3 linked regions of the Anolis sagrei genome follow. The protein of the gene in region 2 interacts with the protein of the main gene of each other region in a biochemical or structural test. Links are inferred from orthologs where the notes say so. Each region holds a gene or a part of one and is shown on either strand. Other genes may lie near its edges.

What was found. The genes of interacting proteins can lie anywhere in the genome.
Region 1: the proteins of AHR (region 2) and ARNT form a complex in vitro, tested with the Homo sapiens proteins (14 studies listed by BioGRID, with this or other methods). The link is inferred for Anolis sagrei from reciprocal best matches to the Homo sapiens genes AHR and ARNT.
Region 3: the proteins of AHR (region 2) and HSP90AA1 form a complex in vitro, tested with the Homo sapiens proteins (2 studies listed by BioGRID). The link is inferred for Anolis sagrei from reciprocal best matches to the Homo sapiens genes AHR and HSP90AA1.

Annotation. Positions count from the first base shown.
Region 1 is NC_090032.1:5,035,518-5,045,059, reverse strand, and holds the start of ARNT (aryl hydrocarbon receptor nuclear translocator), read left to right. Parts: upstream 1-5,512; 5' UTR 5,513-5,606; coding exon 5,607-5,631; intron 5,632-8,939; coding exon 8,940-9,045; intron 9,046-9,333; coding exon 9,334-9,378; intron 9,379-9,542. UniProt on the Homo sapiens protein: Required for activity of the AHR. Upon ligand binding, AHR translocates into the nucleus, where it heterodimerizes with ARNT and induces transcription by binding to xenobiotic response elements (XRE).
Region 2 is NC_090026.1:95,811,689-95,821,839, forward strand, and holds the start of AHR (aryl hydrocarbon receptor), read right to left. Parts: upstream 4,647-10,151; 5' UTR 3,966-4,646; coding exon 3,910-3,965; intron 1-3,909. UniProt on the Homo sapiens protein: Ligand-activated transcription factor that enables cells to adapt to changing conditions by sensing compounds from the environment, diet, microbiome and cellular metabolism, and which plays important roles in development, immunity and cancer.
Region 3 is NC_090021.1:323,768,548-323,779,255, reverse strand, and holds the start of HSP90AA1 (heat shock protein HSP 90-alpha), read left to right. Parts: upstream 1-6,678; 5' UTR 6,679-6,842; intron 6,843-10,708. UniProt on the Homo sapiens protein: Molecular chaperone that promotes the maturation, structural maintenance and proper regulation of specific target proteins involved for instance in cell cycle control and signal transduction.

The sequences.
Region 1 (9,542 bases), on a different chromosome or scaffold from region 2:
TAGTACGCATGCGCATTGTTCTAGCCCTCTCTTTAAAGGGCCAGTACATCCATTTTAGTGCGCATGCGGAAATAGCGGCATGCATTCAGCTCGGCTAAGGAAGCAACAGGGCGCTCTCTCTCCGACTCCGCTGCCTCGTAGTACGCATGCGCATTGTTCGAGGCTTCTCTATTTAAAGGGCCAGTAGATCCATTTTAGTGCGCATGCGGAAATAGCGGCATGCATTCAGCTCGGCTAAGGAAGCAACAAGGCGCTCTCTCTCTCCGACTCGGACGCCGCGTAGTACGCATGCGCATTGCATTTAAAGGGCCAGTAGATCCATTTTTAAACTGATTCTCAAAAATTGAATTGTTTTCTTGCTTTGCTTTCAAAGCATTAAAGGAAAGCATGGATTTTTTTTCCCGAGCAAAATGCAACCCTGTGCCTAGGCTTAAATAATATATAGTTGTCAATAAATACTATAATAATATATACTATATTATACACTTTAATACTATATACTATGTATTATATATATAATATGAAATAAAACAATATAATGCTATATACTATAATATATAGTATACACCATATATATAATATATTATATAATAATAATATATATAATTATATATTATATAGAATATATAATATACTATATAATATACTATATATATATGTATTATAATATATATATGTGTGTGTGTGTGTATATGTATATGTGTATGTGTATATATATATATAATATAATATACACCAGAAGCGACTTGCAGTTCCTCAAGTCGCTCTGGACACGACAAAAAATACACACACACACATATATATATATATTATATAATAAATACTCAGATGCAACCACAAGAAAACCGTATATAGATAGAAAGGATTAGCTACTTGCCGATAGATATGCATGCATGCAGAGCTCAAATGCAAACACAAGATGGCAGTAAAAAGATAGAAAGGATTAGTTACTGGACTATTATTATTATTTATTATTATTATTTCACAGTTTTGTATACCGAGCTTCTCAACCTCGTTGAGGGACTCAGCCCGGTTTACATAGATATATAGATATTTATGCATGCAGTACTCAGATGCAACCAAAAGAAGGCAGTATATAGCTAGAAAGGATTAGCTACTGGCCGATAGATATGTTTACATGCAATGCTCAGATGCAACCACAAGAAGGAGGTGTATAGATAGAAAGGATTAGCTACTGGCCAATAGATACGTATGCATGCAGAGCTCAAATGCAACCACAAGACGACAGTATATAGATAGAAAGGATTAGCTACTGGCCAATAGATACGTATGCATGCAGAGCTCAAATGCAACCACAAGACGACAGTATATAGATAGAAAGGATTAGCTACTGGCCAATAGATACGTATGCATGCAGAGCTCAAATGCAACCACAAGACGACAGTATATAGATAGAAAGGATTAGCTACTGGCTGATAGATATGTATGTATGCAGTAATCAGATGCAACCACAAGAGAGCAGCACATAGATAGAAAGGATTAGCTACTGTCCGATAGACACCACAAGAGATATATAGATAGAAAGGATTAGCTACTGGCCGATAGATATGAGTGCAGTGTTCAAATGCAGTGTTCAAATGCAACTACAAGACAGCAATCTAGAGATAGAAAGGATTAGTTACTGGCCTATAGATATTTATGCATGCATGCATGCAATACTCAGATGCAACCAAAAGAAGGCAGTATATAGCTAGAAAGGATTAGCTACTGGCCAATAGATATGTTTACATGCAATGCTCAGATGCAACCACAAGAAGGAGGTATATAGATAGAAAGGATTAGCTACTGGCCGATAGATACGTATGCATGCAGAGCTCAAATGCAACCACAAGACGACAGTATATAGATAGAAAGGATTAGCTACTGGCTGGTAGATATGTATGCATGCAGTACTCAGATGCAACCACAAGAGAGCAACACATAGATAGAAAGGATTTGCTACTTGCCGATAGATAAGCATGTATGCAGTGCTCAGATGCAACCACAAGTGGCTATTACACTGCTAGAAAGGATTAGCTATTGGCCGATAGATATTTATGCATGTAACCTAATGGTCTAGTTTACATGTCAGTCGAATTGCTCCTCTTCCCAAGTGGAGGTCGGGATGGCCGTATACGGATCCACAATCAGCTTTGCGCAGCGCACCATCATGATGAGGAGGAAGAAGCACATCAGGGAGAGGAAGCCGACGCAGATGCCTTTGTCCACGTCCACAAAGGTCTCGGCAGTGGGGTCCTCCATGGGTCTAATTGAGGGTGGTCTTCTTACCCAGGAAGGGGTCTTCCCCTCATCTGTAGGGGCAGAAACGTGGGAATGGCGGGTTCCGGAAAACATTACTCATTTGAACTCGAACTCCCGCCATGAGACCCCCTTACAACACATCTACACCCTGTGGAATGAATCCATCTTGACCCCACTTGAACCTCCATGGCTCAATACTATGGAATAATGGGATTGGTAGTTTGGTGAGGCACCAGGTTACATAGTTCACCCGGACAAGGTGAATGGAACACAGTCGCCAAGGCTTGGCGCTTACCTGCCTTGTCTGCGGGAAAGGATCTGCCAGCGTTTCGCTCTTGCCCCGGTGCCAAAATGGGTCTCTGCCATTCGGTTGTTCAGCTCTGCTCTTCTGTCACCGAAAGCATTCTCATGAATACTTCACAAGGTGCGGGTGCGTCAGGTTTCACCCAGGACAGGGAAGGAGAGTGGAAGGATCCCTCCCAGGTTGGACTGCGTAGCTGTCGTCGCCCAGATCATATTCCCATTTGTTAATCTATCTATTCATCAATCCACCTATCCATCTATTTATCCATCCCTTCTCTCTATCCATGTATCCATCCAACCATCTATCTATCCATCCATCCATCCAACCACCCATCCATCTATCCATCCACCCATCTATCAATATAGCAGTCTATCCATCTATCATCCATCCATTGATCTATCAATCTATTCATCCATCCATCCCTCTATCTATCCATCTAACTCTCCATCTATCTATCTATACATCCATCCATCAATATAGCAGTCTACCCATCTATCTATCTATCTATCTATCTATCTATTTATTTACAGTTCTTATATTCCGCCCTTCTCACTCCGCAGGGGACTCAGGACGGATTACAGTAAACACATATATGGCAAACATTCAATGCCAGTTTGACAAACAACATTTAACAGACAAAAGCTATTTAACTTCTTTTTTTTTCTGGCCGCCAGGGGAGCTGCTGCTTTTCATCGTCCATCAACGACACCGATGAAGTTCTTTCCATCCATCTATCCATCCACCCATCCATCCATCCATCCATCCATCCATCCATCCATCCATCAATCTATTCATCCATCTATCTATCTAACTATCTATCCATCAATCTATCCATCTATTCATCTATCTATCTATCTATCCATCCATCCATCCATTTATCCATCTAGCTATCCATCTATCTATACATCCATCCATCTATCCATCCACTCATCCATCTATCCATCCACCCATCTATCAATATATCAGTCTATCCATCCATCCATCTTTCTATCCATCTATCCATCTATTCATCCATCTATGTATCCATCCATTCATCGATCAATATATCTATCCATCCATCCGTCCATCCATCCAACAATGTATCCATCCATCCATCCATCCATCCACCCATCCACCCATCTATCAATCTATCAGTCTATCCATCCATCTATCAATCAGTGTACCCATCCATCCATCCATCCATCCATCAGTCTATCTATCCATCCATCCATTTCCATTGACGCTGGATGATGGGAGTTATGGTTCACTCCGCACCCAGCGAGCCCTGTGACTCCCATTGCTGGCGGATCTGGACCAAACTTGGCACACAGATGATGGAAGTAGTAGTAGTAGTAGTACACCCTTTGCCACCCCCTGGTGGTCACATTGAGCATTGCTCCCTCTGGGTATTCTGACCCTCCATTGAAATCTCAGGGGCACCATTTGCCCAGGACTCCTATGTGCAATCCTTTGCCGCCCTCCAGAGGATGCATCAAGCATTGCACCTTCTTGATATTCTGCCCCTCCATTCAAACCCTTGGTGCATCTTTCTTCCTTCCTTGTTTCCTTCCAGCTTCCCTTCCTTCCTGTAAATAAATAAATAATATATAATAATATATTAGTAATATTTATTTATACTAATATTATAAGTATATATATATATATAATATAATATATAATAATATAATATATATATAATTAATTATATATATAATATATAATGATATAATGATATAATAATGTAATATATAATATTATAATTATATATACATAATATAATTATGTAATTATTCATAATAATTGATAATAATATATAATGATAAAATAATGAAATATATAATATTATATATATATATATATAATTATGTAACAATCCATAATATATGATAATATATAATTATATAATAATGTAATATATAATATATATAATGATATAATAATAATCCATAATATATGATAATAATATATAATGATGTAATAATGAAATATATAATATTATAATTAAATATATATTATATATAATTATGTAATAATTCATAATAATTGATAATAATATATAATGATATAATAATGTAATATATAATATATATAATGATATAATAATAATCCATAATATATGATAATACTATATAATGATATAATAATGAAATATATAATATTATAATTATATATATAATATATAATTATGTGATAATCCATAATATATGATTATAATGATATAATGATGTAATATTTAATATTATAATTATATATATAATATATAATTATGTGATAATCCATAATATATAATAATAGTATATAATAATATAATAATGTGATATATATTATATATATAATATAATTATGCAATAATCCATAATATATGATAATATATAATGATATAATAATGTAATATAATATATATATAATTATATAATAATAATCCATAATATATGATAAAATAGAATGATATAATAAGGTAATATTTAATATTATAATCATATATATAATATATTGTTATGTAATATATAATATTATAATTATGTAATAATCCATCATATATTATAATAATATAGAATGATATAATAATGTAATATATAATATTATAATTATATATAAAATTATGTAATAATCCATAATATGATAATAATATAATATATATTATAATTATATATATAATATTATTATGTAATAATCCATCATATATGATAATAATATATAATGATAATAGTGTTGTATTATGTATTTTAAGTTGTATTGCTTTAGATTTGCAGAGAGAAAGCGGGATATAAATAAATAAACAAATCCATTCCCGGACGCCCCTCCCCCTTTTCCCGCTGCACCAATGGGAGAGCTATTCGCCTCTCTGTCCCCGCCCCTTCGGCGTCAGAGCTCAGAATAGGAAGCGCGCACGGGAGGCCACGCCCAGTTGGTTTCGTTGCACCAATCAGAGTACTCAATTGCTCGCCCCGCCCCCTGCTGGGGTTCGCCCCGCAGTGGGAGCGCCCGCCATCTTGGAGGCGAGAAGGGAGCAGCGGGGCAGAGCGGGAGGGCGCCTCCTCCTCCTCCTCCTCGGGTCGCCATGGCAACCACTACTGCTAGCCAAGGTGGGTTGAGGCCTAGTGGGCCTCGCGTTGTGGCGCCACTCCAAGGAAGGCCGCGTCTTGGAAATAGGGAAAGGAAAAGGAAAAGGGGGTTTAGGGGCATGCTGGGAGAGGACAACATGGAGGCAGGCCCAGGGGATTCTGGGAGGAGTGGGTCCAAAAGAAAAGGAAGGAAAGGGAGGTCAAGAGAGTCAAATGGGGAGAATTTGGGGGGAAAGAGGAGGGTGGCTTTTGGGGAGGAGCTTTGAGTGACAGGAGGAGGGACTCAGGGAGGGAAGCAGAAGGGATATTTCTTGTTATTATTGTTATTTCTATATTGATTTGACTTGGTGTTATGGGAGAGCAAAATAGGGGGAAATGAAAGGCATTGCCATTGATAATAGTCTCATGTAATACGGTATGATACTAGTAATATTATTATTATTATTATTATTATTATTATTTGCTTTATTTCTATACCACATTTTTCAGCCTAATTAGGCGACTCAATGCGGTTTACACAATACAGGTTATCACAACAATATCCTAAGCGATTAAAACACATCATATACAGCAGACAAAATCAAACAATCATTATCATATCATAACGCCTCAGTAACAAATCAGAATCCGTTCTCATCATCCTTGTACCATTTCCTTTGTTCAATTTTACCGTCTTCCTGTGTTCAGTAATATTACAATAATATTTCCGAACGTATTCTCCCCTATGAACCATCAAGATTATTAAGATCGTCTGGAGGGGCCCTGCTCTCGGTCCCACCGGCCTTGCAAGCGTGTCTGGTGGGGACGAGGGACAGGGCCTTCTCGGTGGTGGCCCCTCGACTCTGGAACTCTCTCCCACCGTAGATCAGAACCGCCCCTTCTATCCTGACATTCAGGAAGCAGGTGAAGGCATGGTTATGGAGACAGGCATTTGACGAGTGAGCCAACGATTATTAAGATGGTCTGGAGAGGCCCTGCTCTCGGTCCCACCGGCCTCGCAAGCATGTCTGGTGGAGACAAGGGACAGTGCCTTCTCGGTGGTGGCCCCTCGACTCTGGAACTCTCTTCCACCGGAGATCAGAACCGCCCCTTCTATCCTGACATTCAGGAAGCAGGTGAAGACGTGGTTATGGAGACAGGCATTCGATGAGTGAGCCAACACCCTGAGATATGGATGGAGGTTGATGAACATCGAATTTAGTGGGACGACTGACCATTGTATTTATTGAATTATTTTATTTATCGTGTCATCAGCAACCATACCATTGTATTACAATTCTAACAGAACAAAACAAACACACAGATTAAAAAGAGGGGAAAAAACACACAGATTTTGCAAACTTGGTAATTGGTTAAATGTCCTTTGACCAGTATCTGGCCACTTGGAGTGCCTCTGGTGTTGCTGCAAGAAGGTCCTCCCTGGTGCATCATGTGGCAGGTCTCGGGGTGCATTGCAGCAGGTGGTTTGCTCCTCCCTGCACTTGCATGTCGAGGATTCCACTTTGTGGCCCCATTTCTTAAGGTTGGCTCTGCATCTCGTGGTGCCAAAGCGCAGTCTGTTCAGTGCTTTCCAAGTCACCCAGTCCTCTGTGTGCCCAGGGGGGAGTCTCTCATTTGGTATCAGCCATGGATTGAGGTTCTGGGTTTGAGCCTGCCACTTTTGGACTCTCACTTGCTGATGTGTTCCAGCGAGTGTCTCTGGAGATCTTAGAAAACTATTTCTTGATTTAAGGCGTTGACGTGCTGGCTGATACCCAAACAGGGGATGAGCTGGAGATGTCCCTGCCTTGGTCCTTTCACTATTGGCTGCCACTTCCCGGCGGATGTCAGGTGGTGCAATACCAGCTAAACAGTGTAATTTCTCCAGTGGTGTAGGGCGCAGGCACCCCGTGATAATGCGGCATGTCTCATTAAGAGCCACATCCACTGTTTTAGGTGGCGAGATGTGTTCCACACTGGGCATGCGTACTCAGCAGTAGAGTAGCATAGCGCAAAGGCAGATGTCTTCACTGTGTCTGGTTGTGATCCCCAGGTTGTGCCAGTCAGCTTTCGTATGATATTGTTTCTAGCACTCACTTTTTGCTTGATATTCAAGCAGTGCTTCTTGTAGGTCAGAGAACGGTCCAGAGTGACTCCCAGGTATTTGGGTGCGCTGCAATGCTCCAGTGGGATTCCTTCCCAGGTCATCCTCAGAGCTTGGGATGCTTGTCTGTTCTTAAGGTGAAAGGCACATGTCTGTGTTTCAGGTGGATTAGGGATCAGCTGGTTTCCCCTGTAATAGACAGTAAGGGCACCTAGAGCTTCGGGGAGCTTCTGTTCAACCATCTCAAACCTCCCTGCTTGAGCAGTAATGGCATGATCATCAGCATAGATGAAACTCTCTATCCCTTCTGGCAGTGGCTGGTCATTTGTGTAGATATTGAACATTCATGGAGCAAGCATGCTCCCCTGAGGCAGGCCGTTCTTCTATTTCCGCCATCTGCTTCTCTGGCCCTGAAACTCAACAAAAAAGCTCCTGTTTTGTAGCAGGTTTCCTATGAAGCAGGTGAGGTGGTAGTCCTTTGGGATATTATACATTTTCCTCAGGAGGAGGCGGTGGTTACAGTCTCATAAGCCACTGACAGGTCTATGAAGACAGCTCCTGTGATCTGCTGCCTTTCAAAGCCATCTTCTATGTGCTGAGTCAGGTTCAGCACTTGCAATGTGCAGCTTTTGCCTTTCCTGAAGCCAGCTATGCAGTCATGCCGGCCACATGACCTTGGAGTGTCTACGGACAACGCCAGCTCTTCGACTTAGAAATGGAGATGAGCACAACACTCCAGAGTCAGACACAACCGGACTTAATGTCAGGGGAAAACCTTTACCTTTACTATTATAATTATGTATTTTATATTATATGTAGTAATACTAATAATATTACAATATAATGGTATAATACGATATAGTAATATATAATAGTGATATTGTACTATGCTAAATAATATATCTATCTTATAATATGTATATATATCTTGTAAGCCGCTCTGAGAAATGGGGTGAGAAGGGCAGCATATAAATGTCGTAAATACATAGAAGTGGTATTCTTAGCCAGGAAGGGATATTTCCCTCAAATCCATTTCTAAGCTTTTTTAATACTCTAAACCTCACTTGCCAAGTTTCCAACAGACCCCTCAACTTCTGAAGATGCCTGCCATAGATGTGGGCGAAATGTCAGGAGAGAATGCTTCTGGAATATGGCCAGGCAGCCTAGATAACTCATAGCAACCCAATGATTTCAGCTATGAAAGGCTTCAACGTCATCATTGTTATAATTGTTGTTGTTATTCCAGAAATGGCCTCAGATGTTTCCTCTTTGGGTTCACCGTCTGGGACATCAGGAGCAGGAGCACATTCTGGAGGAGGCATCGTCCAGAGAACAAACAAGCGGAGGACAGGGTAAGGTGGCTCTTGGGTATTTGGAGAAGGGGGCAATTTTAAGAGGAAGATCCAGCAATTGTCCTGTGAGTTTTAGAATGACAGAACCATAGAGTTGGAGGAAACCCCAAAGGCCATCCAGTCCAACCCCCTTTACCATTCAGGTATCCATTCAGGTTTCAACAGTAAAGGATCCTTGGGTTCCTCCGCTGTGCCAGGCCTTCATTTCCCTTCTAGTTTTCCCAGGGTATTGTTTGACGTTGGAATGTGGCAGCTGGGATCTCACATCTTGCTGCTGTCCTTCCTCAGGCTCGATTTTGACGACGACGGCGAAGGGAACAGCAAATTTCTCAGGTGAGTTGAGCTTCCGTCGGCAAGGACTTGGGGTCCTAGATGGGGAAAATTCTGTGGAAATGCCCATCTAAATCTGGAGTGAGGTCTGTGACAGGTTGGCAGGTACAGGCTATCCCCAAGTTAGAAACATTCAGAAGTCAATTTTCCATCCGAGGGGTAGAGTC
Region 2 (10,151 bases):
AAAAAATCATGAGTGTGTGAAGAATAAAATCAAACCTCCTACATTTTGATGCTACAGGCTGAATGTTAATCCACAAACCAGGGACTAACCCACTGCAGTGGCAGAAGCCAGACAGCACAACGTGGCTTTCTGCACATAGACACAAACAGCATGTGCTACTAGCAATCCCTGTTGGACTATACAAGGCAGGCTCACAGCCAAGGAAGCCAGAAATTAGCCAACTGCTGCAGACTTTCAATTTTTCTTTTTACATTGATTCTGTACAAACTGGCAGGGAGTGATCACCTTAAATACCTGTCGTTCTTGGCCAGGGTGCCAACTTAACACTGATTTAAAGACTGAAGACATTCCTTCATCTCCTCCCACCTCACAGCCCTTGTTCTGACTTTAATCAGCCGCTTGACTTTAACTGGGTCATCGGAGCTTGATAAAAATAGGGCCCTGAATCAAGGCTTAATTTGTACTATGTCTCAGCCCAGAAATCTGTTCTCATCCTAAGGCTGTAGTCCTTGAATATAGGTTGTTGGGGAGAAGACAGTCCTCTGTGCACATACAGAAGACATTTGCTTGTCATTCAGGAATCACTGCTCCTCCACCCCACCACTGCAAAGAAGTACCCAACGGTTTCTAAAAACCCTTAAGGCAGTGTTTTCCAAACCAAGAAGTCTTTTTCATTTTTTTTAAAAAAAGATGAAATATTATCTACTGCTCTGAAGTAAGTCATAAAAATAACAAAATGTTAGCATTCAGGCTGAAAACAGAGGCTCTTTTGACGCTCCCCGTGGATTATTGACAAAGAGCCAGGAAGTCACTAGAAGCGGCTCTACGGCAGCAAGGGAAGGGAGGGTTGACACAGATTGCACAAAGGGCCACCTCGGGCCACCAAAACCCTTTATACAGGTAGACGTCTTCATTCCAGCAGACACTGCTGGAAAACAGACAGAGAGAGATAGAGAGATGCACGTATATTATGTCAGACGTCAGGGATGCTCCCACCAGCAAACTGAAGAGAGGCCTTTGAGCCAGGAAAATAAACAACAATCACAAGACAAAAACTTAAATGGGGAAAGAGAATACATATTTGTCTTTTTTACAGTGTGTGTGTATATATCTTAGGCATGGTCAAACTTGGGCCCTCCAGGTGTTTTGGGCTTCAACTCCCACAAGCCTACCTATTGGACAATCTTATAGTAAGTGACCATTTTCTTTATAGGGTTGATGAATGTGTCATGGACAAATGGGTCTGTGAAAGTTCTTTCCATTCCTATCCCAAACAACACTGCATTTCAGCTGTCCACCTCTGGTCTTGCTGGGTGTTCATGAAGACTGCATCACCCTCTTGCAGTCCTTATTCTATGGGTGCATGTATTGATAACACATTTTTTCCACAGTATTTTTCTTTCTCAAATAATGCATCTCAGGCCAGTTTCTCTTTCTGGGCATGACTGTGTGAAAATAGTTTCCCAAGGTTCTCTGTCATATGAAGTACTTCATAAAAACAAGGCAAGCAATTCCAGTAGATGCAAAACAACAGGGGTTCCAAGTCAAGCATCCCCAAAAAACCTGGAGGGCCCAAGTTTGCCCATGCCTGATATATCTTTTAAAAAAAGAGCTACTGAAATTCTGAAAGTGATCAGCAATTCCAATAAAAACACAAGGTTGTAAGCAATGGGGCAATAGGATGAAGGGGGAGAGATCAGGAAAGAGGGGAGTAAGGAAGGTATAGCAGGGAGAGGAAGATGGGAGAGGAGGGCAGAAAGGAGAAATGGGGTTGAGAGGATGAGAGGAAGGAGCCCAGAGGAGACAGGAGTAAGAAGGATGGGGAGAGGAATGGGAGAAAAGAATTGGGATGGGAAGAAAAGGGAAAAGAGTTCAGAGAGGGGAACAGGAAAAGCAGAGGAAAGAGAAGTACAGGGGAGAAGGAAGGGAGGGGAAAGTTGAGATAGGTAAAGAGGAGGAAAGCAGGGCAGCCTGGGGCAAATTGCGCCCTCTCAGAGGCGGGGGAGGAAAGGCCTCCCACAGAAGCAATGGGAGGGATCCCAGTCTCAAGAGCAAGCCTGGAGGGCTCAAGTTTACTCATGCCTGAGATTTCTGGTTTTGTTTTTGTTTTTAAAGAGCTACTGAAATTCTGATGGTGATGCCTTATATCTGTACACTGTACAATCCACTCTGAGATAAAGCGGAATATAAATAAAGTGTATTATTATTATCTTGGCATTGCCATGAAAACACAAGGTTGTCAGAAAAGGGGCAATGGGATGAAGGGGTGGGGAAAGAGGAAAGTAAAGGAGCTAAGACAGGGAGAGGAGGTCAGAAGGGGGAAAGGAGTATACTGTAATCTGCTCTGAGACAAAGCAGAATATAAATAAAGTTTATTATTATCATCTTGGCATAGCCATGAAAACACAAGGTTGTAAGGAGAGGGGCAATGGGATGAAAGGGGAAAGGTGGGGGGAGAGAGGAGTAAAGGAGCTAAGACAGGGAGGGGAGAGGAGGGCAGAAAGGGGGAAGGTGTACACTGTAATCCTCTCTGAGATAAAGCGGAATATAAATAAGGTGTATTATTATTGTTATTATTATTATTATTATTATTATTATTATTATCTTGGCATTGCCATGAAAACACAAGGTTGTAAGGAGAGGGGCAATGGGATGAAAGGGGAAAGGTGGGGGGAGAGAGGAGTAAAGGAGCTAAGACAGGGAGGGGAGAGGAGGGCAGAAAGGGGGAAGGTGTACACTGTAATCCTCTCTGAGATAAAGCGGAATATAAATAAGGTGTATTATTATTATTATTATTATTATTATCTTGGCATTGCCATGAAAACACAAGGTTGTAAGGAGAGGGGCAATGGGATGAAAGGGGAAAGGTGGGGGGAGAGAGGAGTAAAGGAGCTAAGACAGGGAGGGGAGAGGAGGGCAGAAAGGGGGAAGGTGTACACTGTAATCCGCTCTGAGATAAAGCGGAATATAAATAAGGTGTATTATTATTATTATTATCTTGGCATTGCCATGAAAACACAAGGTTATAAGGAGAGGGGCAATGGGATGAAGGGGGAAAGGTGGGGAAAGAGGGAAGTAAAGGAGCTAAAATAGGGAGGGGAGATGAGGGTAGAAAGGGGAAAGGTGTAGATTGTAATCCGCTCTGAGATAAAGCGGAATATAAAGTGTATTATTGTTATCTTGGCATTGGCATGAAAACACAAGGTTGTCAGGAGAGGGGCAATAGGAGGAAGAGGAAGAGGGGAGTAAAGGAGCTAAAGCAGGGAAGAGATGAGGGGAGAGGAGGGCAGTTATCTGAGTCCACACTGCCATATTATTCCAGTTCAAAGCAGAAAACGTGGGATTTTATTCAGCTGTGTGGAAGGGGCCTCAGAAACAGGTCTAATAAGGGAGGCACCAAAATGTGTGTTGACCAGTAGATCAAATCCAGAAAAAGTCAAAACTGGAAACATAGAGAAGAGAGGAGACAGAAGTGAGAAGGACTGGAAGAGAGGGGAAAGAATTGGGATGTGGAAAAATGAGCTGAGAGAGGGCTAAGGCAGGGAGGGAAAGAGGGCAGAAAGGGGGGTGAGGGGGAAGAGAGGCGGGGGGGGGGCAGAAGAGACAGGAGTCGGAAGAATGGGGAGAGGAAGAGGAAGTGGAAGAAATAATTGGGATGGGAAGAAGGGGGAAAGAGCTGAGAGGGGAATAAGAAGAGAAGGGGGAACAGGGAAAAGAGGGGAAAGTAGGGGAAGAAGGAAGGAAAGGAGGGAGGGGGAAAGTTGGGATGGGTCATGAGGAGAGAGGGAGACAGCGGGGCGGCCTAGGGCGGGGGAGGAAAGGCCTCCCGCAGAAGCGATGGGAGAGCCTCAGTCTCAAGGGCGAGCCCCCTTTCCTTCCCTCCCCTCCCCTCCCTCAGCCCCGGCTTACATTTTCTGCACGGGTTTCCGCCGCTTGCGGCTGGCGTAGGTGACATTGGGGTTCATCCTCCTGCTGCTCCCGCTGCGGCTCCAGCGCCTCCGGCCGCAAGAGGTTGTTATTGTGTGTGTCTCTCTCTATATATAAATGTATATGCTTCAAAACACACACACACAGCCACAGCAAAAGCACGCCCTCCCTTTGAGGTCTCCCACCAGCGAGGAAGGCAGGAAGGCAGGGGGGTCTCTTCAGAGGCCTCCTCTGCCTCAAGGAAGACAGCACGGGTCTCCTCGGAGAAGCAGGTCGCGGCCGGGCCTCCTCCGCCTCGCCGCCAATCCTCCTCGCGAGTCCCTTCCTCGGCGGAGAGGGGAGGAGAGGGAAGGGAAGGGAGGAGGGGAGCCAGGTGCTTGGCGCCGGCAACACCCACTCGTCGCCGCTGCCGTCCTCCTCGCTCCGTTTTCGGGGCGGAGAGACAGGTGCGGAGGCGGCCGCTCCGTCCCCCCTCCTCCTCCTCCTCCTCCTCCTCTTCCAAGAGACTGAGGCGCCTCAGCGAGACTGAGGGAGAGAGAGAGAGAGTCTCCCTTCCCTTCCCTGCCTTTCCCTTCAGCGCAGCCGCCGTCCTCCGTGACGTCCTCACACTCGCCTCCCTCCGTTTCTGCGCTCTTTCTGCCTTGGTTTCAGCGTCGGGAGATGAACCTTGGCTCTCCCGAGAGGCCCGGCCCACCGCCCACCGAGCAGGAGAAACAGGAGGAGGAAGAGGAGAAGGAGGAGGAGGCCCCGGTGGGAGGGGGGCGCTGGGCGGCGTCAAGGGGGCGGCGCGGCGCCATGTTGGGAAGGTCAGGCCGGGGAAGCAGAGCGAGGAGAGCGCAGAGAGGGAGAGAGAGGGGAGGGGCCTTGCTCTGCCCTAGGCCTGGGCAAACTTGGGCTCTCCCTCCAGGTGTTGTTGACTTCAACTCACACCGTGCCTAACAGCCTCAGGCCCTGTGCCTGTGTTAGGAATTGTGGAAGTCCAAAGCACCTGGAGGGAGCGCCCAGTTTGCCCAGGCCTGTGTCCGTGTTAGGAATTGTGGGAGGACAAAACACCTGGAAGGAGGGCCCAGGTTTGTCCAGGCCTGTGCTTAGAATTGTGGAAGTCTAAAGCACCTGGAAGTAGGGCCCAAATTTGCCCTGGTCTGTGCCTGTGTTAGGAATTGTGGGAGTTGAAGTCCAAAACACCCGGAGGGAGGGCCCAAGTTTGCACAGGCCTGTGCCTGTTTTAGGAATTGTGAGAATTGAAGTCCAAAGCACCTGGAGGGAGGGCCCAAGTTTGCCCAGGCCTGTGCTTGTGTTAGGAATTGTGGGAGTTGAAGTCCAAAGCACCAGGAGGGAGGGCCCAAGTTTGTCCAGGCCTGTGTATGTGTTAGGAATTGTGGAAGTCCAAAACACCTGGAAGAAGGGTCCAAGTTTGCCCAGGCCTGTGCTTGTGTTAGGAATTGTGGGAGTTGAAGTCCAAAGCACCAGGAGGGAGGGCCCAAGTTTGTCCAGGCCTGTGTATGTGTTAGGAATGGTAGAAGTCCAAAACACCTGGAAGGAGGGTCCAAGTTTGCCCAGGCCTGTGTTAGGAATTGTGGAAGCCCAAAACACCTAGAGGGAGGGCCCAAGTTTGCGCAGGCCTGTGCCTGTGTTAAGAATTGTGGGAGTTGAAGTCCCAAAACAACTAGAGGGAGGGCCCAAGTTTGCGCAGACCTGTGCCTGTGTTAAGAATTGTGGGAGTTGAAGTCCAAAGCACCTGGAGGGAGTGCCTAAGTTTGCCCAGGCCTGTGTATGTGTTAGGAATTGTGGAAGTCCAAAACTCCTGGAGGGAGGGCCCAAGTTTGCCCAGGCCTGTGCCTGTGTAAGGAACTGTGAGAGTTGAATCAGCCCTAGCAAACAACAATGTATACTGTACACCTTGAAGGAAATGTGTACACCCTGAATACCTTACAATTCTGGTATTATTTTTTTTGCAGGGTTCCCCCCCCCCCCCAAAAAAAAGATAGTATGTGCCCTGAACAGGAATTAAAGATTTTAACAGTGAAGAAGTGTCACAAAATTACATGAGGAACAAGTAAGGTTGTTAACTGTGCTTCGATAAAACAAGCAGTGTATATCTGGGTAGGGGTGACAATCTGCACATAAAATGGTAATTTAAGATGGAATTAATAACTCTGAGAAAACCCTTATAATAACATTTTTTTACTTAGACTTACATACTTACTTGTATTACCAACTCAACATTTTTATTATGGTCCAAAGACCTTTATTACACTTACTTATATTAGGGTTCGAATGAGCTGTTAAAGGGCAAATGCATTGGGGGTGGGGCACACTATTGTGGGCATTCAAGACATTTTCTGGGAACTATAAAGTGACCCTTTCATTAAGTTTTCTTAGCAACTTTTATTCAGAAGAGGTTTGCATTCCTCAGAGTTCCTCTGAGGCTGAGAAAGTGTGACTTGCCCACTCCTATAATTCCATAGCATTGAGCCATGGCAGTTAAAGTGATGTGAAACTACATTAATTGTACAGTGTAAATGCACCCTTGGAGGCCCTGCCTATATATTTAACTGTGTATTCCTGTTCAGGACTAAGACCCACTGAGTTCAACAGGGTTTATGTTCAGCTAAGTCTGTATAGGACTTTAGCCTTACTCTTGAATTGCTGAATGTAAGTGGGCCTCCAGCCTCAATAGTACAATTTTACTGTCTTAAAATTAAAATTATTTGGCCCACTCAATGTGTTCTGGGATTTGTTCAGACAAGCCTTTAAAAAGAAAAGTGGTCTGTTGCAACATTTTATTTTATGTTTCTAGAAGATCTTTTTCTTCCTACTTAGAATGCACTGAAACAATAGAAAAATATCCATGTCATAAAATGGAAACAGAATTCACATAAAAACAAATTAAGGGCATCAATTTGGTATTAGAAACCAGTTTTTATGTCTCTCGTGCCTGATAATAGTGATGATCCTCTAGCTCCAGAACTGCTCAGTCATTTCCTTACTTCATCTCACATGAATGTATACAGGGATTGTTTGTTAGATAAACACTTTTAGTACGAGTGTCATTAATTCTGAAGGATAGCCTTTTCCCACAGCTTCACAACCTTTCCAACATGACAACACAGGCCCAGTAAAAATGACAAACCTTGTGGTGCCTTAAAAGCTCCAGTACATTTATTGTGGTATGACCTTTGCCTGCATGTAACCAAAGATACATTCCTCAGAATGAAAATAAGGAAGAGTAAACTGGAGCTTACAACTGGAAAATAGAGGGAGAAAATGTGGAGGCCGTGACAGACTTTGTATTTCTAGGTGCAAAGATTACTGCAGATGCAGACTGTGGCCAGGAAATCAGAAGACGCTTACTTCTTGGGAGGAGAACAATGTCCAGTCTCGATAAAATAGTAAAGAGTAGAGACATCAGACTGGCAACAAAGATCCGCCTAGTCAAAGCCATGGTATTCCCTGTAGTAACCTACGGATGTGAGAGCTGGACCTTAGGGAAGGCTGAGCGAAGGAAGATCGATGCTTTTGAGCTGTGGTGTTGGAGGAAAGTTCTGAGAGTGCCTTGGACTGCGAGAAGATCCAACCAGTCCATCCTCCAGGAAATAAAGCCCGACTGCTCATTGGAGGGAAGGATACTAGAGACAAAGTTGAAGTAGTTTGGCCACATCATGAGGAGACAGCAAAGCCTAGAGAAGACAATTATGCTGGGGAAAGTGGAAGGTAAAAGGAAGAGGGGCCGACCAAGGGCAAGATGGATGGATGGCATCCTTGAAGTGACTGGACTTGAAGGAGCTGGGGGTGGTGACGGCCGACAGGGAGCTCTGGCGTGGGCTGGTCCATGAGGTCACAAAGAGTCGGAAACGACTGAACGAATGAACAACAACAACAAACTGGAGCTTAAAAAAACCATGATCGCTTTCTAGCACAAATAGGTATATGGTATATATATTACAAGATACTTCAGCCTTCTAGTGACAGCACCATGCATTTCAAAAAAATACACAAATGAATTAAAAGGCTTTGCAACACATTGTTGGCAGCTGAGAAATCAATTTTCTTTGCCCCCTTCATTAATTTAAATTGCACTTATGTTTTAGAGCTGTTTCCTTTAGTTCCAAGGAGAGGAAAACATGAGCTAATCTACGCATGATGGTGTAATGGATTGTTTGGTGGCAGGACCAATATGAAATAAGTTCAATGTTTATAAGACACTTTCATAAAATGAGTATCGTGGAATTACAGAGGTGGAAGAGACCACAAGGACCATCCAGTCCAACCCCCTGCCACTCAGGAGCACAGAATAAAAGCATCCCTGACATGGCCATCCAGCCTCTGTTTAAAAACCTCCAAAGAAAAGAGACTGCCACACTTCAATGCAGTATATTCAACTGTTCAAGAGCTTTTACCACCAGGAAGTTCTTCCTATTATTTTCTTCTAGTTTGAATTCATTGCGCTGTGTTCTATTTGTTCGGAGCAGCAGAGGACAAGCCTGCTTCATCTTCAACACAACACCTTTTCAAATATTTAAACATGACTATCACATCCCCTCGTGACCTGTTCTCAATGCTAAGCATACCCAGCTCCTTATAGGAGTTGACTTCCATAATAAAATAATTGGCATCATAGTCATTGTTTTCAAAGAGTACACGTATCTAAATTTTTCAGAATTCTTTGAATTTAGAAAGATGGCTATACAGGTCTCATACATTGGCAGACTTATCAGAAAGGAACAAAATGTCATGTTGGCATCTTGGCTCCCTGTTTAACAGGTAGCCTACAGTCCGTATGCAGAATCAACCAGTTTGAGAGCTTGGGATGTGAGCTCAATCACTTACTTGAGCTCAGCAAAACACCAATTTTTACCCAAGACAAACTGATGATGCCCATTGCCCAAGTAAGCGCAGGCAAAATACAGATAAAAGGTACGGTAAAAATAAAACTTCATCAAAATAACAACTCAAATCATTTGAGGAAAAAAAAGCCAAATATTTCTTTCTCCCACCCATACAGAACAGTCCCCGTTTTATTATCTTTTTCCTGCCAGCTACGCACACTTCCAAACCACTGGTCAATTCTGTTTTCTAGAATTGCATTTGGGGCCTAGAGGTATTATTGGAAGCAAATATGGCCTCAGAGGCTAATGCTTTAGTGTAGTAGTCCGGCCTCCCAGATTTATTTTTCACTGGAAAAAAATCAGAATGGACAGAATCCAGTTGATGCCAAGGAAAGTAGGAGCTTGTAAGTACCTTCAGATATCATTGTTCGAGACTACCGAGTCAGAACTGTGATGCTGTGGACTAGTAATTATTAATCAGAGTCATATTTACATAAAGTATTTTTCTTGGTGATTATGCAGGCATTTCCTGACAAGAAGATAGAAAGGACCTTATGTCTAGTTCTTTATAATATGTATGGAAAGGAGTTTGAACCCAAAAGACTGAATAAATATTTCTGATTCCTTGAACACAATAAAGAGCAATTTAAATACTTTTGACCTTATATAGATAAGATCTTCATTGCTGTCCTTTGATGCTGAGGGAATGTGACTTGCCCAAGGTCAAATAGTGGGCCTCCATGGCTAAACAAAGATTTGAATCCTGGTCTCCCAAATACCAACATTCAAAAAGATACTCATTATATGTATCTCTCAGTCACCATTTTAAAATTATTACGCCATTTTCTTTGCAGGGTGGGTGTGAATGCCAAGAAGCCAGGCTATGACACATTGCTCAGCATCAGGTATGCCATTGACTTAACTCCTAGAAATCCACATGTGGGTATAGACATTTGCACTATCATTATTTCCTGATAATCACACGATTGATGTTAATAAGTGAGGCGAATAATCTTAGTTCAACCTCGCCAAGAATAAATTCCACAGAATTTAATAGGACTTACTTTGGAGGAATCATACTTAAGCACATGATGAAATCTAAGGGTTCAATCACAATTCGGCCGAACCTTCTTTTGTCAAAAAAAGTTTGAATCCCCACCCCCTTTTGATGAATATATTTTGATACACTGTTTCGTAAAAAAAAACAACCCTAAAACGACTTTAATACTGCCCTAGCTCTGTTCTTACAAATCGGAATCTGGATTCCATCACTTTCAGCATCCTGAACAGCTTCTGTGAAGAGACAAAGCTGGACAGTCTTTCAGATAGTTCATCTCCTGTTCATCTATGTTTTGACAATAATGATAAAGATCTCAAAACGGTCATCTTATTGAA
Region 3 (10,708 bases), on a different chromosome or scaffold from region 2:
TGATCACAACAACTTGACTTATAGCCTTATGACTGGGAGACCTCCAAGTCACCGTGGCTGCATCTACACTAATGCAGTTGGACAACACTTTTATAGCCATGATCCATTGTTATGGAATCCTGTTAGTGGTAATTGTATAAGGTTTTTAGTTGTTCCTCACTGAAACTGCAACTCCCACAAATCCATAACATTGAGCCATGGCAGTTAAAGTGGTGTCATGCTGCATTAATTCTGCTGTGTAGATAGATCCCTGTTGATAGCGGTATCTTGCAAAGTTGAATGTCTCTCCATCTGTAATGCAGTGTTCCTTTTCTAACTGCTTTCAGTCTTTCCAAACTTTACTATCTTTTGTAATGGAGCTGAGTGCTGGAGACCATTTTTGGATCAGTTTCTTGGAATGAGTTTGAGCATTGTTGCCATGGCTGGTTTGTTGTTGACAGAACCATAAGAATTAATAGTCTAAAAGCAAGTTGTTGTTTGTTGTTCATTCATTCAGTCATTTTCGACTCTTTGTGACCTCATGGACCAGCCTGTGCCAGAGCTCCCTGTCGGCCATCACCACCCCCAGCTCCTTCAAGGTCAATCCAGTCACTTCAAGGATGCCATCCATCCATCTTGCCCTTGGTCGACCCCTCTTCCTTTTTCTTTCAATTTTCCCTAGCATAATTGTTTTCTCTAAGCTTTCCTTTCTTCTCATGATGTGGCCAAAGCAAGTTAGACCCATGTTTTATATTTATTCCTTTGAATTCTGCCAGTCAACAAATCTAGACATTAAGTGACAAAGAATGCTAGAAAATTTTCTTTCTGTTTCCTAAAGGTCTTTTGATTATGAGGGTTGGATGGTAGGCCATTGGGGGGGGGGGGTCTCTTCCAATGCTATGATTCTACTTAATCCTGTCACTTTTTCAGCTGTCCCAATTTCTATCTCCTCCTCTGACTTTCTTCTTTTGTTTGAATCATCTGGATCCTACCTTGATTTTGTTTTGTCATGCGTGTCCCAGTTTTCATCTGTGAAATGCTGGCTGCTATGGTATTTGCAAATCCTGGACCTTATCCCCTGTCTCCATACTATGGTTGATTTTTAAACCGCTCTCTCTCTCTCATGTTTCCTTTAATAGCCTTTCCCCGCAAGCTAAGCAGGCCCAAATGTTGTAACCTTTCTTCTGTTTGCTCTAGAATTGCCACGGTTGGCACAGCCCTTTGTGTCGAATCAGCTTCTAGCCAAAGACATCACATTCATTCAACTAATGAGACTCATCAGTGCTGCCAAAAAAAGACCTTAATGTATTATGTAAATGCATGATTCCCTCAAATGTTTCAGACATCCCGGCTCCACACACCTTCCTTATTTCTGACAGCTTTAAAGTGCTGAGTCCGAGCGAATAGTAAAGCAGTCCCAAGGAAACTGTTTTTCTTTTCAACTCCATTTCAGATGTGTATCTCTCTGTGGACTTCTTTAGATATATGAGGCATTCAAAAAAAGGCATATATGATATCATGGCAAACCAGTTGGATCCATACAGACACAAGTGTTGTTTCCCTGCAAACAAATGCTACTATGAATCCATGCATTGGGAAGCTTTGATAAGTAATCAGTTCCCATGGTTGCCGATATGTAACAAAACATTATACACAGGCAGGGTAGAACAGCAGGTTACAAAGAAGTACAAGTGTTTTACTTTAAATTCACTTTGTTAGGTATTTATTTATTTATCGTGTCATCAGCAACCATACCATTGTATTACATTTCTTAAAGAACAAAACAAACACACAGATTAAAAAAAACCAAAAAAAAAAGAAAATCCACAGATTTTGCAAACTTGGTAGTTGGTTAAATGTCCTTTGACCAGTATCTGGCCACTTGGAGTGCCTCTGGTGTTGCCGCAAGAAGGTCCTCCATTGTGCATGTGGCAGGGCTCAGGGTGCATTGCAGCAGGTGGTCAGTGGTTTGTTCTTCTCTGCACTCGCATGCCGTGGATTCCACTTTGTAGCCCCATTTCTTAAGATTGGCTCTGCATCTCGTGGTGCCAGAGCACAGTCTGTTCAGCGCCTTCCAAGTCGCCCAGTCTTCTGTGTGCCCAGGAGGGAGTCTCTCATCTGGTATCACTCATGGATTGAAGTGCTGGGTTTGGCCCTGCCACTTTTGGACTCTCGCTTGCTGGGGTGTTCCAGCGAGTGTCTCTGTAGATCTAAGAAAACTATGTCTTTGTTAGGTGTCCTTGACGGGGTTGCACTCCCCCTGAAGTCACAGGTCCGCAGCTTAGGGGTCCTCCTGGATTCAGCGCTGATGCTTCATGCGCAGGTGTCGGCGATGCCTGGGAGGGCCTTTGCACAATTAAACTTGTGCGCCAGCTGCAACCACACCTTGTGAGGTCTGACTTGACCATGGCGGTCCACACCTTCGTTACCTCTAGATTGGATTACTGCAATGCACTCTACGTGGGGCTTCCCTTGACGATGGCCTTTTGTAGTGATTGCTCCCACGTTTATTTATTTATTTACAGCATTTATATTCTGCCCTTCTCACCCTGCAGGGGACTCAGGGCGGATTACAATGTACACATATATGGCAAAAATTCAATGCCAATTAGACATACAACATATATAGACATACACAGAGGCTATTTAACTTTTTCTGGCCGCCAGGGGAGCTGTCGCTTTCATCATCCATCTACGACACTGATGAAGTACTTCTTCATTCCCCGCATGCTTTGCTGGAGTGCTTTTTGCTGGAGTCTTTTTTATGCCCTCATAAATTAGTTAAATTAGCCTCCCCACACATAGGTGGTACCTAATTTTCCTACTTGACAGATGCAACTGTCTTTCGGGTTGCAAAGGTCGACAACAAGCTACACAATTGGTCGGACACTCACTCTGACCTGGGCTGGCTTCGAACTCATGACCTTTTGGTTTAAAAGGTACGGCGTCTGGCCACCCTCTTGTTTGCTGCAGAAGCTCCTGGGATAAAGGTACTGTCTGGAAGATATGGAAATCCAGTTTACTCCAGTTTATTTATTTATTTACTTTATTTGTATACCACTCTTCTCAGCCCTTAGGCGACTCAGAGCGGTTTACAACAGTTTAGATATACAGAATACAAAATCATTATGCATTTAAAAGCAATTACTAGTATTATATTGCATTACATTACAATATTATAAATATTATATGTATATACAATATATTATATTATAACATATTATTAGAATAGCACAGGAGACAAGATGGAACTGTCCCCTGGCCCCTCGTTCTTCGCTCTGGCCCAGAGCGGCAGTTGGTGCTGCGGGGAGGGGTCCCCAACGGATGGCAAATGCAGGAGACAAGATGGTGCTGTCCCCTGGCCTCCCCTCTCTTCGCTCTGGCCCAGAGCGGCAGTTGGTGCTGCGGGGAGGGGTCCCCAACGGATGGCAAATGCAGGAGACAAGATGGTGCTGTCCCCTGGCCTCCCCTCTCTTCGCTCTGGCCCAGAGTGGCAGTTGGTGCTGCGGGGATGGGTCCCCAACGGATGGCAAATGCAGGAGACAAGATGGTGCTGTCCCCTGGCCTCCCCTCTCTTCGCTCTGGCCCAGAGCGGCAGTTGGTGCTGCGGGGAGGGGTCCCCAACGGATGGCAAATGCAGGAGACAAGATGGTGCTGTCCCCTGGCCTCCCCTCTCTTCGCTCTGGCCCAGAGCGGCAGTTCGTGCTGGGGGGAGGGGTCCCCAACGGATGGCAAATGCAGGAGACAAGATGGTGCTGTCCCCTGGCCTCCCCTCTCTTCGCTCTGGCCCAGAGCGGCAGTTGGTGCTGGGGGGAGGGGTCCCCAACGGATGGCAAATTGTTAGTTGTTAGGAATTGTGGGAGTTGAAGTCCAAAAGCCCCTGGTGGCGCAGTGGGTTTAAACCCCTGTGCAGGCAGGACAGGTCGCAGGTTCAAATCCAGGGAGAGCATGGATGAGCTCCTTCTGTCAGCTCCAGCTCCTCATGCGGGGACATGAGAGAAGCCTCCCACAAGGATGATTAAACATCAAAGCGTCCCCTGGGCAACATCCTTGCAGATGGCCAATTCTCTCACACCAGAAGTGAGTTGCAGTTTCTCAAGTCGCTCCTGACACAACAAAAAAAAGTCCAAAACACCTGGAGGGCCCAATACATTGGCTGTATTTTCCCATTGGACAGTTCTAAGCTAAGAAAAAGTGTGTCATGTCTCAAATGTGAAATGTTTCAAACACTGAAGAACATTTCCTCCCTCAGAACTGCATGACAGGGACACATAGTGAAATCTTCTATAAAAGAGCCTTCTCCAGTTTTTACTGTGAGATGTCAGCCATTAGGCAGAGGCTTCCTATTCCTTGATGTCTCCTTCTTTTAATGAGAGAGAGATTCTTCTCTCAGGTTTTCTAGGCGCTTCTTCCGGGAGGGAGGGGGGAAGGAGAGGAGCGCAGCCGCTTTCCCGCCTTTTCTAGGACATTCTCAGGGCGACGAGGGGGGGAGCCCAACTGTCAGAACAGCCCTTCGGAGGGGGCGGGCACAGCGGCGGGAACAGCCCAACGGACTCCGCTCCCTCCTTTCCACGTGAAGGCAAAGCTCCGCCCTTCCTCTCGGCGATGATGTCATCTCTCTCAATCTGCAGAATACCCTCACAGTCCTTCCAACCAGGTTGAAGGCAGGCTGCGCAGGCGCAGTCTCTACTGGCGAAAAGACGGGGAGGGGGGAGGAGAAGAAGTAGCCTGAGGGTTCTAGGTCTGTGCGCATGCGTGGATGAGAAACTGGGTGAGAATAATATTATATATAATATTAATAATGTTGTAACATATTATATGCTACATCTTATGATATAGTACAATATATTAAATAATACTATAATATCCTGGTAATGAATTATATATATTGTAGTATAATATAGTACCTTATAGTATAATATAGTACTATATTATAATATAATATATAATATATATAATATATATAATATATAATATTATGTATAATATATATAATATAATATAATAATATATTATAATATAATATTATATAATATAATAATATAATATATTATATATTATATATAATATATAATATAGTAAAATATAGTACTATATTATAATATAATATAGTATATTATAATATAGTATAATATAGTGACCTTGAAGGAGCTGGGGGTGGTGACGGCCGACAGGGAGCTCTGACGTGGGCTGGTCCATGAGGTCACAAAGAGTCGGAGACGACTGAACGAATAAACAACAACAATATAGTACAAAAAAATAATATATAATAAGTGTATATTACGTTTAATTATTGATTTATTATTATTATTATTATTATTATTGTTTAGCAATTTTGTATACCAGTCTTCTCCCCTCTATCGGGCGACTCGGGCCAGTTTCCAACAATAAAATCACAAAACAATCATTATAAACATCATATAACATATTCAATTGAAACGTTATAACAGCAAGATGCAATCACATAATAACAATGGTCAGTCGTCATAGTGAATTCGTTGTCCATCATTCATCGTCATCTATCCGATCACAGAAATATTGATTCACTCGTTGAAAGCCAAACCCCATAGCCAGGTTTTCACCCGTTTTCTGAATGACAGAATGGAGGGGGCAGTTCTGATCTCCAGTGGAAGAGAGTTCCAGAGTCGAGGGGCCACCACCGAGAAGGCCCTGTCCCTCATCCCCACCAGACGCGCCTGAGAGGCCGGTGGGACCGAGAGCAAGGCCCCTCCAGACGATCTTAACAACCTAGATGGTTCATAGGGGAGAATACATTCGGACAGGTAAACTGGTAGACTGACATTTATATGCCACCCTTCTCACCCTGAAGTGGACTCAGCGCAGCTTACAAGTTATAGGTACATAAATATATTATATTATTAGCATAGCACAATATTAGCATTATATATTACTATATTGAACCACTAAACTGCAATATTAGCAATATTACATACAATATATAATTATTATATTGTATTATTATTAGGATTATATTGTATTACAATATTATCCTCAATTGAATGGAAAATGGAATGTTGGTGGGCAGGAAAAGAGATTTAAAGATTTAAAGATGGGCTCAAAGCCAACCTTAAAAACTCTGGCATAGACACTGAGAACTGGGAAGCTCTGGCCTGTGAGCGCTCCAGCTGGAGGTCAGCTGTGACCAGCAATGCTGCAGAATTTGAAGAGGGCGAAAGAGAGAAACGTGCCAAGAGGTAGGCGCGTCAAGCCAACCCTGACCGGGACCGCCTTCCACCTGGAAGCTAGTGTAATATAATATTGTAATATGATTTAACATATTAAATATGGTACAACTGATAATATGCAATGATATACTGTTTTATGTTTGTATATTTGAAGTTGTAATGTTTTTGATGGTGAGCCGCTTTGGATATGGAGAGATAAAGCAGGATATAAATAAATACAAATAAAAGCATATAATAAAATACATAATAGAAAGAGAGGAGAGCTATGCATAGCTTTCCCTGCCAGGCGAATCTGCGCAAGCGCAGTGCAAGCCTAAGATACCGAGGGGAGGCAAGTCTCTCTTGCTTTCGCGCAGTGCGCATGCGTGATGGATGAGGCACTCGAGGTAGGTGGGGTTTCGCGAGAGAGAGTGAGGGAGAGTCCTCCAATCAGGCGCATGCGCATTCTTCCCCCTCACCGCGCGAGGGAAGCCCCGCCCCCTTTCCCCTCCTGCTCTGTCAGTGAAGGTTCCCGATGGTTCTGGAAAGAGGCGGCGCGAGGGCATAAAAGGCCCGCGAGAGGCGGGGGCGCAGTGCAGTCGGTGAGCAACCGCCGGAGAGGGAGCATCGCTTGGGAGAGCGCTCGGGCAGCAGCTGCAGATCTTTAAGGCCGCCAAGGTGAGGAGAGGGAGGAAGACTGGCTGGAGATAAATGTCGGAGGGAAGGAATAGGAAGGGGGGGGGGAAAGCAATTAAAGGGAGAAGGCCTTCCCTTTTGTAGTTTTCCTTCTAATCCATGAATGAATGAATGACAGGTTGCACTTCAACTCCTACAATTCATAACAGCCTACCGGCTGTTAGGAATTGTGGGAGTTGAAGTCCAAAACCACCCGCAGGGCCCAAGTTGGCCCAGGCCTGCAATAATGTCATTAGGCTCCCTAGTCATGGATGCAAAGGGGAGGGGGAGGGCTCCTTTCTGGCAGCCTCGCGCCCGTGCGGGGCAGGGATTGGCTGGCGGGAGGCGGTGGGCGGGGCTTCGTTCCTTTAGGGGCGGGAAGTCTCTAGCAGTTTCTAGAAGGGTTCCTTACCCCTCCCAGGCCGACAGATGGCGCAGATACTCTTAGTATTCAGGTCCTTTGGCCTGAATTGGGAATTGGGAGGAGGCAACACTTTTTGACAGTGACAGAAATGTATTATTTTGTAAGGGGGGGGGGGGAGAATACAATTTGGGGCTGGGAGAGGTTTATGGCAGAAGCTTTGAAGGCTTTTTTCCTCCAATTGGAATATTGTGTCCAATTCTGGGCACCACAATTGAAGCTGGAATGTGCCCAAAGGAGGGTGACTAAAATGATCAAAGCCCTATGAGGAGCGACTTAAAGAGCTGAGCATGTTTAGCCTGAAGGATGAGAGGAGATGTATTGATACCACTATTTCCTGTGGCCAGGAAATCAGTGGAGGGATTGAGGGAGGAGGCAACACTTTTTGACAGTGACAGAAATGTATTATTTTGTAAGGGGGGAATACAATTTGGGGCTGGGAGAGGTTTATGGCAGAAGCTTTGAAGGCTTTTCTCCTCCAATTGGAGTATTGTGTCCAATTCTGGGCACCACAATTGAAGAGAGATCTTGACAAGCTGGAATGTGCCCAGAGGAGGGTGACTAAAATGATCAAAGCCCTATGAGGAGCGGCTTAAAGAGCTGGGTATGTTTAGCCTGAAGAAGAGAAGGATGAGAGGAGATGTATTGATACCACTATTTCCTGTGGCCAGGAAATCAGTGGAGGAATTGAGGGAGGAGGTAACACTTTTTAACAGTGACAGAAATGGATTATTTTGTAAGGGGGGAAATACAATTTGGGGCTGGGAGAGGTTTATGGCAGAAGCTTTGAAGGCTTTTCTCCTCCAATTGGAATATTGTGTCCAATCCTGGGCACCACAATTGAAGAGAGATCTTGACAAGCTGGAATGTGCCCAGAGGAGGGTGACTAAAATGATCAAAGCCCTATGACAGTGTTTCTCAACCTGGGGGTTGGGACCCCGGGAGGGGGTGTCAGAGGGGTCACCAAAGACCACCAGAAAACACAGTATTTTCTGTTGGTCATGGGGATTCCATGTGGGAAGTTTGAGCCAATTCTATCGTTGGTGGAGTTCAGAATGTTCTTTGATTGTAATGAACTATAAATCCTAGCAACTACAACTCCCAAAAGTCAAGGTCTATTTCCCCCAAACTCCACCAGTGTTCATATTTGGGCATATTGAGAATTCGTGCCAAGTTTGGTCCAGATCCATCATTGTTTGAGTCCACAGTGCTCTGTGGATGTAGGTGAACTACAAATCCCAAAACTCAAGATCAATGCCCACCAAACCCTTCCAGTACTTTTTGTTGGACATGGCACTTCTGTTTGCCAAGTTTGATTCAATTCCATTGTTGGAGGAGTTCAGAATGCTCTTTGATTGTAGGTGAACTATAAATCCCAGCTACAACTCCCACAGGACAAAATCAATACCTTCCCCCAATCCCATCAGTATTCAAATTTGGGCATATTGGGTATTTGTACCAAATTTGGTCCAGTGTATGAAAATACATCCTGCATATCAGATATTTACGTTACTATTCATAACATCAGGAAAATGACAGTTATGAAGTAGCAATGAAACTAATTTTATGGTTTGGGGTCACCATAACATGAGGAAGTGTATTAAGGGGTCATGGCATTAGGAAGGTTGAGAACCACTGCCCTATGAGGAGCGGCTTAAAGAGCTGGGCATGTTTAGCCTGAAGAAGAGAAGGATGGGAGGAGATGTATTGATACCACTATATAATGCAGAGCAATGTCCAATCTCAATAAAATAGTAAAGAGCAGAGACATCACATGGGCAACAAAGATCCGCCTAGTCAAAGCCATGGTATTCCCTGTAGTAACCTACGGATGTGAGAGCTGGACCTTAGGGAAGGCTGAGCGAAGGAAGATAGATGCTTTTGAGCTGTGGTGCTGGAGGAAAGTTCTGAGAGTGCCTTGGATTGCGAGAAGATCCAACCAGTCCACCCTCCAGGAAATAAAGCCCGGCTGCTCACTGGAGGGAAGGATACTAGAGACAAAGTTGAAGTACTTTGGCCACATCATGAGGAGACAGGAAAGCCTAGAGAAGACAATTATGTTGGCGAAAGTGGAAGGCAAAAGGAAGAGGGGCCGGCCAAGGGCAAGATGGATGGATGGCATCCTTGAAGTGACTGGACTGACCTTGAAGGAGCTGGGGGTGGTGACAGCCGACAGGGAGCTCTGGTGTGGGCTGGTCCATGAGGTCACGAAGAGTCGGAGACGACTGAACGAGTGAACAACATATAATGCAGTTTAAAAGCCCTAAACGACTCCGGCCCTGTTTACCTCTCCGAACGTATTCTCCCCTATGAACTATCAAGATTATTAAGATCGTCTGGAGAAGAGGCCCTGCTCTCGGTCCCACTGGCCTTGCAAGCGCGTCTGGTGGGGACGAGGGACAGGGCCTTCTCGGTGGTGGTCCCTCGACTCTGGAACTCTCTCCCACTGGAGATCAGAACCGCCCCTTCTATCCTGACATTTAGGAAACAGGTGAAGACATGGTTATGGATCCAGGCATTCGACGAGTGAGCCAATATGCTGAGATATGGATGGAGGATGATGAACAACGATTTTAGTATGACAACTGACCATTGTAGTTATTGAATGTAATTGCTGTTTTAAGGTTTTACTGTAATATGAATTATGATGTTTTATTGACTGTATGTAATATTATGGTTGGAAACCGGTCTGAGTCCCTCAAGAGAGGTGAGAAGGTTGGTATACAAAATGAATAAATAAATAAATAAATAAAAATAAAATGTTTCAAATTGCATTATATGGCAGTGTAAATAGAGTCTGAGGGATGGGAATTCCATAAGTTGGAAGTAGCCATTGAGAAACCTCCCTTTTTCACCAAACACCTGTCTTAGGACACATCTATGTTATAGAGTTAATGCAGCTTGACTCCACTTTGACTAACGTAGCTCAGGTCCCTTCTACACAGCTGAATAAAATTTATTTATTGTATTTTTACCCCGCGCTATCTCAACCCTGGAGGGGATTCAGAGCGGCTTCCAAATTGATAATACTAAATGCTGCATTAAACATACAGATAAAAAATACATACATCCTAGGAGAGGAGACGTGATCACCATGTATAAATACGTGAGAGGAAGTCATAGGGAGAAGCATGGTGTATCCAATGTAATCTTTTGAATCAGCACCCCAAATAACCAAACTCAATCTCAAGTTGACAAAAATCTGATTCGTAACTCTTTGGTACTAATGTTGGAGAGTGGTCCTTGGTAAAAAAAAAGGTTGGGAACCACTGGATTACAGGATTCCTTTATATCTTTTTATAGCTTCTCCTTTTCCCCAGGAGTTGTGTCCATTTGTCCAAAGGCAGATCTTGTATTCATTGGGTGTGTGTGTTAATAATAATAGTAACTTTAATGTGTTGTCAAAGGCTTTTATGGCCGGAATCGCTGGGTTTCTGTGAGTTTTCTG